3 linked regions of the Sus scrofa genome follow. The protein of the gene in region 3 interacts with the protein of the main gene of each other region in a biochemical or structural test. Links are inferred from orthologs where the notes say so. Each region holds a gene or a part of one and is shown on either strand. Other genes may lie near its edges.

Region 1 (4,888 bases), on a different chromosome or scaffold from region 3:
TGACCCGCTGATGCAGGGCCTTCATAAATTCAACATCCAGTGGCCGGAGCCTGGGGAACAGGAATCTGTGACCACCTGCTAGTGGCAGCCCTGCCCCTGGTGCTCTTGGCCTGTTCCCTTGGCAGCACCCGGTGGTGTCAGGAGCCTCAGGCTCGGACCATACCCGTGGCCGAAGGGCGAGATGAAGTACAGGCAGCAGTGCACCCTGTTGTCTTGGATGTTCTTGCGGTTCAGGCCACTTTCATCTCGGAAATACTGCTCAAACTGCTGGTCGATGTATTCTGCCACAGGCTTCCAGCTGGGGCAGGGACAGACAAGCAGAAAAACTGTGGGAGTGGGGGCTGCCTAGTGAGCTCTAGGATTGCAGAGGAGCCCACACCCTGAGCAGTCTTTTCAAGCCTTGGCTATTCCCGGACTTGCTTTACTACATCTTCAGGGAGGTACCTGGCTGGGACATGCATCCTCATAGAAAATCAGACTGAGCACACAGGCAGGGGGTCATCAAATACTAGTCTGATGAGAGGGAGAGAGCCCAGGTGACCAAACAAAGCATTGAGACCAGCCAGGTGCCAGCAGGGAAACACCAACGGGAGGCCAGGGCAGGTTCAAAGTTCAGCCTCAGAGCCTTTGTTTGGGTGGTTCCATCCTCTCCTCCACCTCTCCCAACCCACTCCATCCTTCAGAGCCATATCCAAGAACCATCTCTTCCACAACGGCTCCTGTGACCACTCCAATGGACACTGCTCCCCCTTCCCTTCACCACACACAGAGTTTATATATACACAATATAGGAGTTCCCTTTGTGGCTCAGTGGTAATAAACCCGACTAGTATCCACGAGGACACGGGTTTAATCCCTGACCTCGCCCAGTGGGTTAAGGATCCAGCGTTGCCATGAGCTGTGGTGTAGGTCTCAGACACAGCTCGAATCCCAAGTTGCTGTGGCTGTGGTGTAGGCCAGCAGCTGTAGCTCCAATTCAAGCCCTAGCCTGGGAACTTCCATATGCTGCCGGTGCGGCCCTAAAAAGCAAAAAATAATAACAATAATAATAGTAAGTTCCTGCTGGTTTACTAAATGAGTACATGTGGAGGTGCACTGCAAACCGTGAGGTGCCAGGCAAGTGAAAGCATTACTATTACAGGAGGTAAGAGCAGGTAAGTAGATTGATTCAAGGAGGGCATGATACTTGCTAAAGCAGGAACCAGGGGCTGGTCAGGGCTCAAGTTTCAGGGCAAGCCCAGCTTGCTGAGACATAGTCCTAGATCAGGAAAGGTGATGATGACACGGAGGCCACCTCAATCCAGCAGGAATATTTATGGAGACCACAGTACAGGACTGTGGCAAGAATGTAAGAAACAGATTTCCCCTCAAGGGTTAGATCATGCAGTTGAAGATGAAGCAGTGTGCTGAGCCACAAGTCACATGTTGTAATGGTAAAGCATGTTAGGGGCGTGCAGAGCACAGAAAGGTCTGTAAGGGTATGACCAGTCTGTGAGGCCATCGTCCAGTACAGCGCGTGGGACCCGTGAAGTCACACAGGGGCCCCACCACACCCGGTTTATTCTCTGCTGTGACCATCTTGAAATTCTTAATCATTTTGAACAAGGGTCCCACACTTTTATTTTGCACTCGTCTTGCAAATATCATCTCAAAGTTCATGAGTGTAGGAGTTCCCATTGCGGCTCAGCGGTCATGAACCTTACTAGTATCCATAAGGATGCAGGTTTGATCCCTGGCCTGGCTCAGTGGGTGAAGGATCCGCCATTGCCGTGAGCTGCGGTGTAGGTCACAGATACGGCTCAGATCCTACGTTGCTGTGGTTGTGGTGTAGGCCAGCAGCTGCAGCTCTGATTTGACCCCTAGCCTGGGAACTTCCATATGCCATGAGTGTGGCCCTAAAAAAGCAAAAAAAAAAAAAAAAGTTCATGGGTGTAATGTACGCAGCCCTTTACAGTTTCAGGAGGTTTTTTTTGTTTGTTTGTTTGTTTGTTTTTTTGGCCACGTCTACAGCATATGGAAGTTCCTAGGCCAGGGATCAAACCTGCACTACAGCAGCCACCTGAGCCACTGCAGTGACAATTCTGGATCCTTAACCAGCTACAACACAAGAGAGCTCTGCCCTTTACAGGTTTTTTGGTTTTTTGTTTTTGTTTGTTTGTTTGTTTGTTTGTTTTTGGCTTTTTAAGGCCATGACCACGGCATGTGGAGGTTCCCAGGCTAGGGGTTGAACTGGAGCTGCAGCTGCCAGCCTACGCCACAGCCACAGCCACACCAGATCCTTTAACCCACTGAGCAAGGCCAGAACCTGCATCTTCATGGATACTGGTCAGATTCTTAACCTGCTGAGCCACAATGGGAATCCCACTTTACAGTTTTCAGCACACATTCACATGCATCTTTCTGGGTTGATTTTCAGATCAACTGGGTGAGGTGGTAAGGCCAGAATTTTTCAGTTGAAGAAATGGGACCGTGGTCATTTGCTCAAGATCAGGGGGTTACTAAATACCGAACCAAGATCTGAACTCTCAGTCTAGGACCCTTAGCACCACCCTGCCTAACTTCCTCATCAAAGGCGCCACCTTTTCTCTAGTCTTTACATCCATTTGTGTCTTCATCTACTCACTCAGGTCTGACCACCATCTAAGCATCCTTCTGATTCCCGAAAAAAAGGGATGCTTGGGCAGCAGGTGGCAAAGCTACCTTTTCTACAAGCAGGTTGCTTCCAGGATGCCTGGAACAAACAAACTTCCATCTGTGCTTTCCCTTTGCCTCTTCTGCCCTTCACCACCCCCCATGCATTCTCACTCCTTTAATAACTTGCAATAGCACCTAAAATATTGCTGGTGAAAGGAACGAAGGAGGGAGGGTGACAATTATTGAGCACTTACTAAACATCACGCCCTGTGCTATATGTTTTTTGGTTGTTTTTTTGTTTTGTTTTGTTTTTTGGTTTTTTTTGTCTTTTTGCTATTTCTTTGGGCCGCTCCCGTGGCATATGGAGGTTCCCAGGCTAGGGGTCGAATTGGAGCTGTAGCCGCCAGCCTACGCCAGAGCCACAGCAACGCGGGATCTGAGCCGCGTCTGCAACCTACACCCCAGCTCATGGCAACGCCAGATCGTTAACCCACTGAGCAAGGCCAGGGACCGAACCTGCAACCTCATGGTTCCTAGTCGGATTCATTAACCACTGCGCCACGACAGGAACTCCATATATGTTTTCACATATGTTTGCTGTATTTTTCTTTTTTTTTTTTTTTCTTTTTGCTTTTTAGGGCTGCACCCAGGGCATACAGAAGTTCCCAGGCTAGGCTGGGTGTCACATTGGCACTACAGCTGCCAGCCTACGCCACAGCCACAGCAACGCCAGATCCAAGCCGCGTCTGCGACCTACACCACAGCTCTCGGCAACACTGGATCCTTAACCCAGTGAGTGAGACCAGGGATCAAACCCTCATCCTCATGGATCCTAGTGGGGTTCATTACCACTGAGCCACAACAGGAACGCCTGTGTTTACTTTTGTGAGGTTTCTCCTTCCTATCTGTGTCCCCATCCCCCTTCTGGAATTATAGGTCAGAGTTAAAGGAACACTAGAGAGCATCTCCTCCAATCCTCTCCCTCTCCCTTTACAGAGGAGCAGCTGTCCATAAGCGGCAGTGGCACGTTCGAGGTCGCAAACCCCTTCTTCCTGACAGTGGATGTGTCCGTGCCCCTGTGTGCGTCTACGGGATGGGTGGGGGGTAGGGACAGGGGCTGGGCTTGGTCAGACATACCACTCTGTGTTGTTAACGGCATCCCCAAAACCTGGTGTGTCCACAATGGTGAGCCGCAGCTTCACGCCCTTCTCCTCTATGTCCACTGCATGCTTAGTGATCTCCACCGTTTGCATGATCCGTTCTGGAGAAGGACAAAACTGAGGCCAGGGAAGGGGCAAGGACCTGCCCAGCCAGGACACACCGCCCACTGCAGCCAGCTCTGCTACCCGGACTGTCTCACCCACACTGCCCCCTCCCCGCCCCCAGGCTGCCTGGGGGCCTGTTCTCTGGGAACCAACGAGGAGCACATTTCCCAACACAGGAAATGCCGGTGGCTGTTGGCTCTGGCCCCAGCCTCTTCTCTGCTCCCAGCTCTTTTCTTGGATTCCTGGAATCCTTTGGGGGTCAGAGACTCACTCAGAGAGCAGGATTCTGGTCCCTGCCCTGCTTCAGCACCCAAATCTTTAGGGAGCTGGCTGGTGGGCTGCCAGGCTAGGCAGGCCTACGGAGAGATGCTGTCAGTCTCCCTAGGAAGCCATGGTTTCCTGCATGCTGGGGAAGGCTCCAGCCCCCAGACTCTGGAGTGAGTTCCCAAGTCAGCTCTGCTCGCCTGTCTTCATGCTCCTCTCTTTTCCTCACCTTCAGCACTCAGGAGTTTCCGGTCCCGGTATAGATCAGTGAGGAAGAGGCTGTTGATGAGAGTGGATTTCCCCAGGCCAGACTCTCCTGACAGGAGAGAGAGGACAGAGGCACCAAATCAGATCTATAACCAAGAGGCAATCCCACTGGACCAAGGTGTGCATGGCGGCGGGGGAGGGCTAGTTGCTTACATAATTGGGAAGAGAATAACCAAACCACAACAGAGCTGGGAGAAAACAGAGAGAAGAGCTTGTCCAGCCTTCTCATTTGAATGAGGCCCAGAGAGGATAAAAGACTGCCCAGGGTCACACAGAAAAAGGCAATACTAGAAAATACTAGAAAACTGACAAGTGTTCTTTACCCCGTCACCACCCCCTCCCTGCCAACGTTATACATACTTTTGGTCACCCGTGGCTCCAGGCGGTTTTGCAAAAAGGCACAGCCACCTGCTGCTCTCTCCTTCCCTGCCCACAAGCCCTCCCCACATGGAAACAAT
Region 2 (4,888 bases), on a different chromosome or scaffold from region 3:
CCCTCCAACCTGTTTTTCTTTGCAATTTATGAAAAATCTAAGTTGTCTGCCTATAGCTTTCTTATGGTCTAGATTTTGCTGAATCCATCCCAAGAGGAAATTTAACATGTTTATCTATTCTATGTATATATTCTATATTTCTACAATTTGGTAGCTGTACCTAGAGGCTTGATGAAATTCAGGTTCAAGATATTTTTGTTTTTCGGCAAAACTATTTTGTAGATGATGTTATAGTTTATGAATAGGAGGTATGTAACGCGAGACTATCTCTGTGATGTCAGCAGATGTTAATGTTCAGTGTTTCTATCTATTAATCTGTCATTTGTTAGCTAAGATATTTTTATAAAGATAAGTCTCCTTTCATCCACTATTTAGTCCTCAGTAGTACAGCTCATAAAAGCAGAGTAAAAGGACCCTATTATGAAATAATGAGTAGGCTCCCTAGCAAAAATGATCAATTAATTTTTATCCTAGGTTTCATTATGAACTCATGGGTTTAAACAAAAGTGATCAGCTAGTTTTCCTTTTCCTTTGCCATTTAAAAACTGCTCATCATAAAAAGTTAGGAAATACAGAAAAAGTAAAAAGTATCCAGGAGAAAAGTAATTATCACTAATCCTGCCACTTGGAAATAACCACTGTTAATCATGTGGAAATTTTTCTCCTAGGCCATACTTTAATACTTGAGGTCATACTGCACATCTAATTTTATATCTTACACTTTTATCATATATCTTGCCCTGTACTGTTTATAAATCACCTTGCTTCCAACCTCCTCACACTGGCAAGGTGAAAAAACCCAGTTGGGGAGTAACTGTTTGAATAAAGATTATTCCTAACAGACTAATTCATAATAAAAATCATTTCCCTATGTATTTTTCTTTGTTTTACCATGTAAGTTCCAGGTACACAACACAGTGATTCAGTATTTCTATACATTACAAAATTGTCACCACCTTACATGGTTCTTTAAACTACTGGGTTTTATACTTGACAACTGGTAAGAATTGGTGGATCTTGAGGTGAAAGATAGGCTCCTCTTTTTTTCAGATCATGAGTGATGTGGTCATCTCCAAGACTCACCGGTCAGCTCCACTATACATGGGGTCTTGCCCAGGCATTCTGCAGCAGTTTCTACTCTATGACTGAAACTGGCTGGGAATGTTCTCTTTAGCCTGAATATGGCCTTGTTCAGGATGTGACACACCACCAAAAGGGAGTAAATTCATGATAGCTCCTAAGAGTTCCCAGGAAGGCTAATGGAAAGAAGTTTTAAATTTATTGTGTGTGTGTATTTGTTCATTATTCTCAACAACTGATTGAATAAAGTGATTTTTTTTTTTTTTCGTCTTTTTAGGGCCACATCCATGGCATGTGGAGGTTCCCAGGCCAGGGGTTCCAATCGGAGCTGCAGCCGCCAGCCTACGCCACAGCAACACAGGATCCGAGCTGCATGTGCAACATACACCACAGCTCACGGCAATGCCAGATCCTTAACCCACTGAGCGAGGCCAGGAATCAAACCCAAGTTCTCATGGGTTTAATTGCTGCGCCATGATGGGAACTCCCAAATAAAGTAATCATAACATTTGGGTCACAACCTGGTTTTTACAGAATGAAGCCTCCCGGTATGCTTTGGAGAACAGAGTTTTAAGACTCTTAAATTCACACATCTCTACCAATCAATTTTGTCTTGCTTCATGCAGTCACTTTATGTTTGATCCATGAAAACAGCTGAGTTTTAAAAAGTGAGCTTAACTGAGCTGGAATTCATCAAAGCTCAGTCTTGGGCTCTCTTTTTATTCTCTCCTTAGGTAATGATATCCATCCCACAGCTTTAAAAATGCTCTCAACATAAAGTACATCATGATTGTAACTAACTTTTGAGTGCTTTCTAGATACCAGGCATGGTATTAAGCATACTATATGCATTAACTCATTTAATTTTTTTTTTTTTAAGGCTGTACCTGCGGTATATGGAAATTCCTGGGCTAAGGGTTAAATTGGAGTTGCAGCTGCCAGCCTACACCACAGACACAGCCACAGAGCCTCATCTGCAACCTATGTCACAGCCTGCGGCAAGGCCAGATCCTTAACCCACTGAGCGAGACCAGGGATTTAACCCACATTATCACAGACACTATGTCAAGAAGTCCTTAACCTGCTGAGCCACAACAGGAACTCCAACTCATTTAATTCTTATAGGAATCCTCTGAGCTGTACACTGTTATTTCCCTCCTTAAAAATGAGGAACTGAGGCACAGAAGATGTCTCACAGTTAGGGAGAGATAAAGCCTGAATTTAAACCAGGCTATGTGGTATCAGAGACCCTACTTTTTTTTTCTCCCCATTTTTGGCTGCCCTGTGGCATATGGAGCTCTCGGGCCAGGTCTGAGTCACAGCTGCGACCCAAACCACAGCTACAGAAACGCCAGATCCTTAACCCACTGTGCCAGACCCAGAGCTCCCAAGATGCCTCCAATCCCACTGCGCCACAGCTGGAGCTCCTCAGGGGCCCTATTCTTAAGCATTATATGCTAATACCTGTGCTCTCTGGATGAAAACATGTCTCTTTTTTTATAATCATTTGAACTTTACTAAACCTGTGAACCCCACAGGGTAGTTTCCCTCCTGTGGAACCCTGATCATCAGGACTAGTTGGAACTGTCTTCCTACAGTATTTTAAAGGTAGATGTATTAATTCAAATGTCCAATTTCTTAACCATGTTTCATTAAAAAAAAAAAAAAGAGGGAGTTCCCTTCATGGCTCAGAGTTTAACAAAGCCGACTAGGATCCATGAGGACACAAGTTTGATCCCTAGCCTTGCTCAGTGTGTTAAGGATCCTGCACTGCCGTGAGCCGTGGTATCAATTGCACACGTGGCTTGGATCCCGCATTGCTATGGCTGTGGTGTAGGCTGGCAGCTGCAGCTACAATTCAACCCCTAGCCTGAGAACTCCCATATGCTACAGGTGCAGCACTGAAAAAGCAAAAAAAAAAAAAAAAAAAAAAAAAAAAAAAAGAGAGAGTGAGCTGCTGGAGTTCCCTACAGCAGCTCAAGGATCCAGTATTGTCTTTATGGATTTGATCCCCAACCTGGCACAGTGGGTTAAGTATCTGGTGTAGTCATAGCTGTGGTGTAGGGCACAGCTGTGGCTCAGATATAATCCCTGGCCCAAGAATTTCCATATGCTGTGGATGCAGCCATTTTAAAAAAAGAGATAGAGAATGCTGTATATTTTTTTAAAAATAGCTCATTTAAAAAAATAGTTCATTACTTACCTTTTATATCTCTATGAACAATCATATTACTGTGCAAATAATGGACACCCTCCAGAATCTGACGGGTGTATTTCCTAGTCACGTTCTCAGTAAGAGCTCCATATGCTTTTAATTGGTCCTTAATTGAACCCTGGATAAAAGAAAACAAAAAACTATAGTATGGTTTGAAATGAAAACTACCAGTAAATTTTTATTTTTAAAGACTTGTGTGTGTTTATTTATTTATTACTCTCACTGACTAAATAAACCTATGCCACAGCTGGGCAATGTTGGATCTGTAACCCACTGTGCCGGGCTGGGGACTGAACCTGTGCTGCCACAGAGATAATGCCGGGCCCTTAACCCACCACACCACAGTAGGAGCTATTTTATTTATTTATTTATTTATTTACTTATTTTTGTCTTTTTGCCTTTTCTAGGGCTGCACCTGTGGAATATGGAGGTTTCCTGGCTAGGGGTTTAATCGGAGCTGTAGCTGCCAGCGACAGCCACAGCCACAGCCACACGGGATCCGAGCTGCGTCTGCAACCTACACCACAGCTCAGAGCAATGCCGGACACTTAACCCACTGAGCAAGGCCAGGGATCGAACAGTAACCTCATGGCTCCTAGTCGGATTCACTAGCCACTGAGCCATGACGGGAACTCCCTATTTTATTTATTTTTAATTGAAGTTTAGTTGACGTACAATGTCATGTCAGTTTCAGGTGTATACCAGTCATATGACATTTAAATACATTACACAATTATCACCATGATGAGTCTAATAACCTCCTACCTCTGTACAAATTTATTACAGTATTTTTTATTATATTCATTATGGTATATGTTACACTCTCATGATTTATTTTATAATTAGACATTTTAATTTGGGGAATCCTAGTTCATGACTGGGAGGCTTTAGCTGGACAGCACAGGAACTCTTAGTAAAGAAATGACATGCATTAATTTAACATAAAACCCTACGATAATCCCTGACTAGAACTGCAGAAGAGTAGAGCTGAAGGAAGCCTTTAAAATTATTTTTTGGGAGCTTCCTGGTGGCTCAGTGGGTTAAGAATCTGGAATTGTCACTGCTGTGGCCTGGTTTCAATCCCTGAAATTCCACATACTATGGGCATGGCCAAAAATTATTATTTTTTGACTGATACTCTGTTGTTTCTATGACTACGTCAGCTCTATCTTCTCTTCCTTGCAACATATTTAAAAAAATCTCCAGTACTTTTGTCTTACTCTTTTTTGCCCTACTTGCTCTTCTATGTATGACCTACTTTATTTTTTTTGGAGGGGGTTGTCTTTTTGCCCTTTCTTGGGCCGCTCCCTCGGCATATGGAGGTTCCCAGGCTAGGGGTCGAATTGGAGCTGTAGCCGCCGGCCTATGCAAGAGCCACAGCAACGAGGGATCCCAGCCGCGTCTACGACCTACACCATAGCTCATGGCAACACCAGATCCTTAACCCACTGAGCAAGGCCAGGGATCGAACCCGCAACCTCATGGTTCCTAGTCGGATTTGTTAACCACAGCGCCACAACGGGAACTCCTGTATGACCTACTTTAATTTTATTTGTTTTGTTCTGTTTTTTTAAAGCACTGTTTTATTGATAT
Region 3 (4,888 bases):
TCTTACTGAGTTTTATTTAGATTAACTAATTGTACATTTTAAAGGAATTTTTTAGGCTTTCAGTCTTTCCTTTTAAGGTTGCTAAAGGTTAAGATTTATTTTCAAGTTACCATTTTGAAATTTCAAGTTGTACTCTTTTGCAGGCCAAAAATTCATATCACTGTACGCATCTGTGTACTTTATTTTATTTATTTTGGTTTTTTTTGTGTGTACTTTATTTTAAAGAGGCAAGATGACAAAGAGACATTTAGAATGTCATCATTTTAAGATGCTACTAACTGTAAACAGCATGATTATATGATGTACCACCACTGCCAATTACATTATCACCCACCATCACATGTGTCCAGATTTTACAAATTTAAACTGTGAACAATTATGTGTCTTAGAATCAGTGAGATTCAGCAGTATTTGCTAAAGGGGTGTGATAAGTTCTCTGCAACATGGGTTCTCTTGTCCCCATCATTAAAGAGCCCACTTCCTACAACAACAAAAGCAGACATTCCTAATTTGGTGTTTAGAAATGGAATCATCTGGAGCTCCTGTCGTGGTGCAGCAGAAGCGAATCCAACTAGGAACCATAAGGTTGTGGGTTCAATCCCTGGCCTCGCTCAGGGGGTTAAGGATCCGGTGTTGCCCTGAGCTGTGGTGTAGGTTTCAGATGAGGCTCTGATCTGGCATTGCTGTGGCTCTGGCGTAGGTTGGCAGCTGTAGCTCCGATTGGACCCCTAGCCTGGGAACCCCCATATGCTGCAAGTGCGGCCCTCAAAAGACAAAAAAAAAAAAAAAAAGAAAAAAGAAAAGGAATCATCTGAATGTCATATTTATGATACATAATGTTTTGGTCACCAGAGAAAGCTTAGGTTTTTATTTTTTTTTAAATATATAAAGTAGGTGACCCCATTTTTATAAACCTGGTGCAAATTTTGATCCACTGGTGAAGGCAAAAATAGTTGAGGTGAAAAGTTATTCAAATTTTCTCACTGCATACAGTCTAACTTGCCTGTCACTGAATGAACATTTAAATACCTTACCCTGGATACCACTTCGCATGCTGTTCCCAAGGGTCTTCACTGGGCTTCCAATCTGTTAGCCCTCCTCCACAGTGAAAGCACTTTACTTTATCACCTTCACCTAAGAAAACATAAAAGTAAAAAATAAATGTATTTGTGTAATTACAAGCTTACACAAAACACCCCTTTAAATACTATAAAATTAAGCATTTCTAAATCACATGAAAACCTCAGAGCTTAAAAGAAGATATCTGAATTCACATCTAAGTAACAGATAAGCTCATTTGAGGAGGAAATACACATTAAATTCACTGATTGAATTTGAGGTATTTTACAGAAGACAAAAACAAAATTTCCTAATCTTTATGTGAAAAACTACAATTGGTTTTAACATGTCATTTGGGGCCATCAATTCTACACTTAATTTTTGTTTTTCTTTTGGCCTTGCTCTGTGGCATGTGGAAATTTCCAGGCCAGGGATCAAATCCAAGTCATAGCAGTGATCCGGGTCACTGCAGTGACAATGCCAAGATCCTTAATCTGCTGTGCCACAAAGGAACTCCTACACTTACTTTTTTTTCAAACTGAAACTTTAACAATAAAGTTCAGTATAATGAAATTACAAAGTAAGTTTCTTTAAGGTTATAGCAATATGGCACTAAACAAACTTGCAAGATTTGCTATATGATACTAAGTAAATAAACTACTAATTGATATTTTGTATTTTGGCACCCAAAGTAAATGGGTCAGATATACATTGATATACTTTTTCTGAATATTCCTGGAAGCCCTCACACTAACGGCCCTTCTTTCCATACTGAGATGTCTACAGTAGTCCATTTGAAAAGTGCTCCTGGTAAGCAATAAGATATCATGCAGGGCAGCTTTCAAATATACTGTCTATGTACAAAAGGCAGATACCAATTTTAACATCAGCCAAAGTAAATTCTCTATTAACTCTTCTTACAGAGTTGTTGTGAGGTGTAGAGAAAATGCATGTGATACATATATATTCAACACAAAGAGAAGGTGCACAATATAATTCAGTGCTTATATTACAGATTCAACATAAGGGTTCAAAGAATAATACTAATATATATAACTATACTAGCCTACACCTAAATATTTAATAGTTTAGTGGGCAAATGGCATCTATTATTTTTTAGGAGCCCTGGGATAGTTGGCAAGTTATTTATTAGCTCAGTTTAATAATAAAGTTTACCTAAAGCATAAAATCCAGCTCTTGCAAGCTGCTCCTTGTTAACTGAATATATCCACGTCCCAAATGTAATGATCCGTGCTTCATAATCTGCCATGGCTGGATTTCTTGGAAGATTTGTCGAATTTGGGAAATTCCTATCAGAACTCACATCAGATTCACTTCGAATATTAACATTCCGGCCCAAAACAAAAAAGCAATTAGGAAAGTGCCGCCTGTGTTCTGACCATGCACGATCACATGGTTCCCAATTTTTCAGTTTCCCGCCACAACAAAAGCACTGCACCTGATCATCAATACCTGTGTAGTAGAGTCCAGCACTAGCTAACTCTCTAGGGGTTAAGTGAGCATAGTCTGGCCAGTTCTGAAACGACTTTAATCTAGCTTCTTCACTACACATGGCAGGGTTCCTCGGGTATATGGTGTCTGATAAGTCTACAACCTGTCCAGTTCTCAAAAGATAGTCTGCATGAGTCTCAGATGGCCTTTCTAAAACAAAATGATTTCTGTTTCCCAGATAGTTTTCAGCTTTGTACTGACCATTTTGGACACCAGGATTTGTAGGTTGCACAGCACTATTTTCCAAATAAAAGCCATTGATAAATCTGCAATTTGGGGATACTTTCCTGTGTCTTCCAACTGCTGAGTCTCCATATTGCCATCTATCTACTGCCGCATGACAACTAAAGCACCGCACTGTGTCTCCTTCACCAGTATATAGAAAACCAGCTCGTGCTAGCGTTGATGCTGAAACAGGACTACTACTTGGAAAATTAGCAAAAGTTTTTAGTCTATTAAACTCTTCTACAAATTCTTCATCCTTATTGATGTCTGTAGGTACACAAGATTTAGATCCTTCAAAACTGTTAAAAGTCATCTTCTCTTGAAAATAGGACTTGTCCACCTTTTCTAAAAAGAGAACATTACATTAGGAAATCCAAAATGTGAAACACAGGTAATACACTTTTGATATTAGGAGCTAACAAATTACCCACTGATGACATAAAAGTAATCATACAATCTCTAAGAAACATTCTAATTATAAATACTAGAATTCTGTATTACCACATGATTGAGGTCATAAATTAAGAACTATCATTTTTTTTATTTTTACTTATTTATTTTTGGCTGCACCTGTGCCGTGTGGAAGTTCCCCCAACCAGGAATCAAACCCATGCCACAGCAGTGACCTGAGCTGCCGCAGTGACAATGCCAAATCCCTAACCCGATGTGCCATAAGAGACTTCTTGTTTTCTCTTTCATAGGAAAGTAATATTTAAGCAAGTAGAATTATTTAAGTGCTTACTTTACATAAATATGGAAACTATATGATACAGAATTTATTAAAATTATTAACCATTAAAACCATCAGTTAGGAAAAACACAAAAGAAGCATAAAATATGCATATTCTTGAAGTCAATGCATAATTGTTATAATGGATTATTGTATATTCAAGGCATAAAAGTTCAGTTTTTACAATAAAAAAGGATGTTCAGAATGTTAATGATTTTCAATATTTCCTTACTGATGAGCAAAAGATAAGTTTTATTCATAATATTGGTTCCAATGTGTTCTTTAAGAGTATCAAATATTTATGACTTTCAGGCATAAACAAAGATTCCATTTTTGTTGGAAATGGATCATCTCAAATGTATATAATAGTGTCCTCTAGGGGGTGGCTCAGGAAAAATATTAAGTACATGTAGACCTTTAATTGCTATTATTTTTGCAATCAACTGCCCACAGTCAAGGAACAATCTGTTCAAATGGAAGAAAGCCTCATCAGAGCTGCCAAATTACAGCTGTATAATATCTAACCGAGATAAAATACTAAAAGGAACTGGCTGGGTTATGAGAAGAGTGGCCAGATAATTTATCCTCCAAACCTGGATGCTTTTGAAAGTGAAAAATGATGCTACTAATAATTACACTGGGACAAGAGGTGCAAATCAGGGTTGCCCCAAGCAAACCTGGTTCTCCAGAATCTCGCACTGTTCCTGACACTGTGCTCAATACCTGCTTGTCAAATGCAAAATAAAAGAACAGTCATAATGACTCCATCTCTACTTCATATGCATATTAACTTATTTCTTGGGAAGAATTAGCAGCTCTTTTGGCATTATGTTGGCACAATATGTCTGGGAATATCATCTCTCTTGGAATTAAAGTTCAACACAAAGCTTCTGGTTTGTAGGCTGGCATGGACTTCAGTCTTTCCTGGACTTGTCAATTTATAATGTTATTAATTCAATATACCTCAAGAGCTGACTTATAGCTCATACAACAATTTTTAGATGACACTCTCCATGACTTTTGGTTATTGTTTTCCAGATGTCTGAAAACATTCCAACACTAGTTTCAAGATCTTTGTTGAATCAGCATAAACTAGATGACAAAAACCAAGATTCAATGAAGCCAAGGCTGCCTTACAGGCTAATGAGATAAAATAGGGTTATGTGTAAAGTCTTATATTCTGATGTTAAAATTCTGTTTTATGTGAGCTGTGCTGTAGGTTGCAGACGTGGCTCAGATCCCATGGCTCTGGCGTAGGCAGGTGGCTACACCTCCAATTAGACCCCTAGCCTGGGAACCTCCATATGCCCTGGGTGCGGCCCTAGAAAAAGGCAAAAAGCCAAAAAAAAAAAAAAAAATCTG

The links. The genes of interacting proteins can lie anywhere in the genome.
Region 1: the proteins of XIAP (region 3) and SEPT4 form a complex in vitro, tested with the Homo sapiens proteins (4 studies listed by BioGRID, with this or other methods). The link is inferred for Sus scrofa from reciprocal best matches to the Homo sapiens genes XIAP and SEPTIN4.
Region 2: of the proteins of XIAP (region 3) and MAP3K2, one has a biochemical effect on the other in vitro, tested with the Homo sapiens proteins (2 studies listed by BioGRID, with this or other methods). The link is inferred for Sus scrofa from reciprocal best matches to the Homo sapiens genes XIAP and MAP3K2.

The regions. Positions count from the first base shown.
Region 1 is NC_010454.4:34,774,337-34,779,224, forward strand, and holds part of SEPT4 (septin-4), read right to left. Parts: intron 4,480-4,888; coding exon 4,393-4,479; intron 3,896-4,392; coding exon 3,772-3,895; intron 299-3,771; coding exon 164-298; intron 51-163; coding exon 1-50. UniProt on the Homo sapiens protein: Filament-forming cytoskeletal GTPase. Pro-apoptotic protein involved in LGR5-positive intestinal stem cell and Paneth cell expansion in the intestines, via its interaction with XIAP. May also play a role in the regulation of cell fate in the intestine.
Region 2 is NC_010457.5:25,166,522-25,171,409, reverse strand, and holds part of MAP3K2 (mitogen-activated protein kinase kinase kinase 2), read right to left. Parts: intron 3,414-4,888; coding exon 3,284-3,413; intron 1-3,283. UniProt on the Homo sapiens protein: Component of a protein kinase signal transduction cascade. Regulates the JNK and ERK5 pathways by phosphorylating and activating MAP2K5 and MAP2K7. Plays a role in caveolae kiss-and-run dynamics.
Region 3 is NC_010461.5:101,416,545-101,421,432, reverse strand, and holds part of XIAP (E3 ubiquitin-protein ligase XIAP), read right to left. Parts: intron 3,142-4,888; coding exon of another isoform or gene 3,110-3,141; coding exon 2,236-3,109; intron 1,135-2,235; coding exon 1,035-1,134; intron 1-1,034.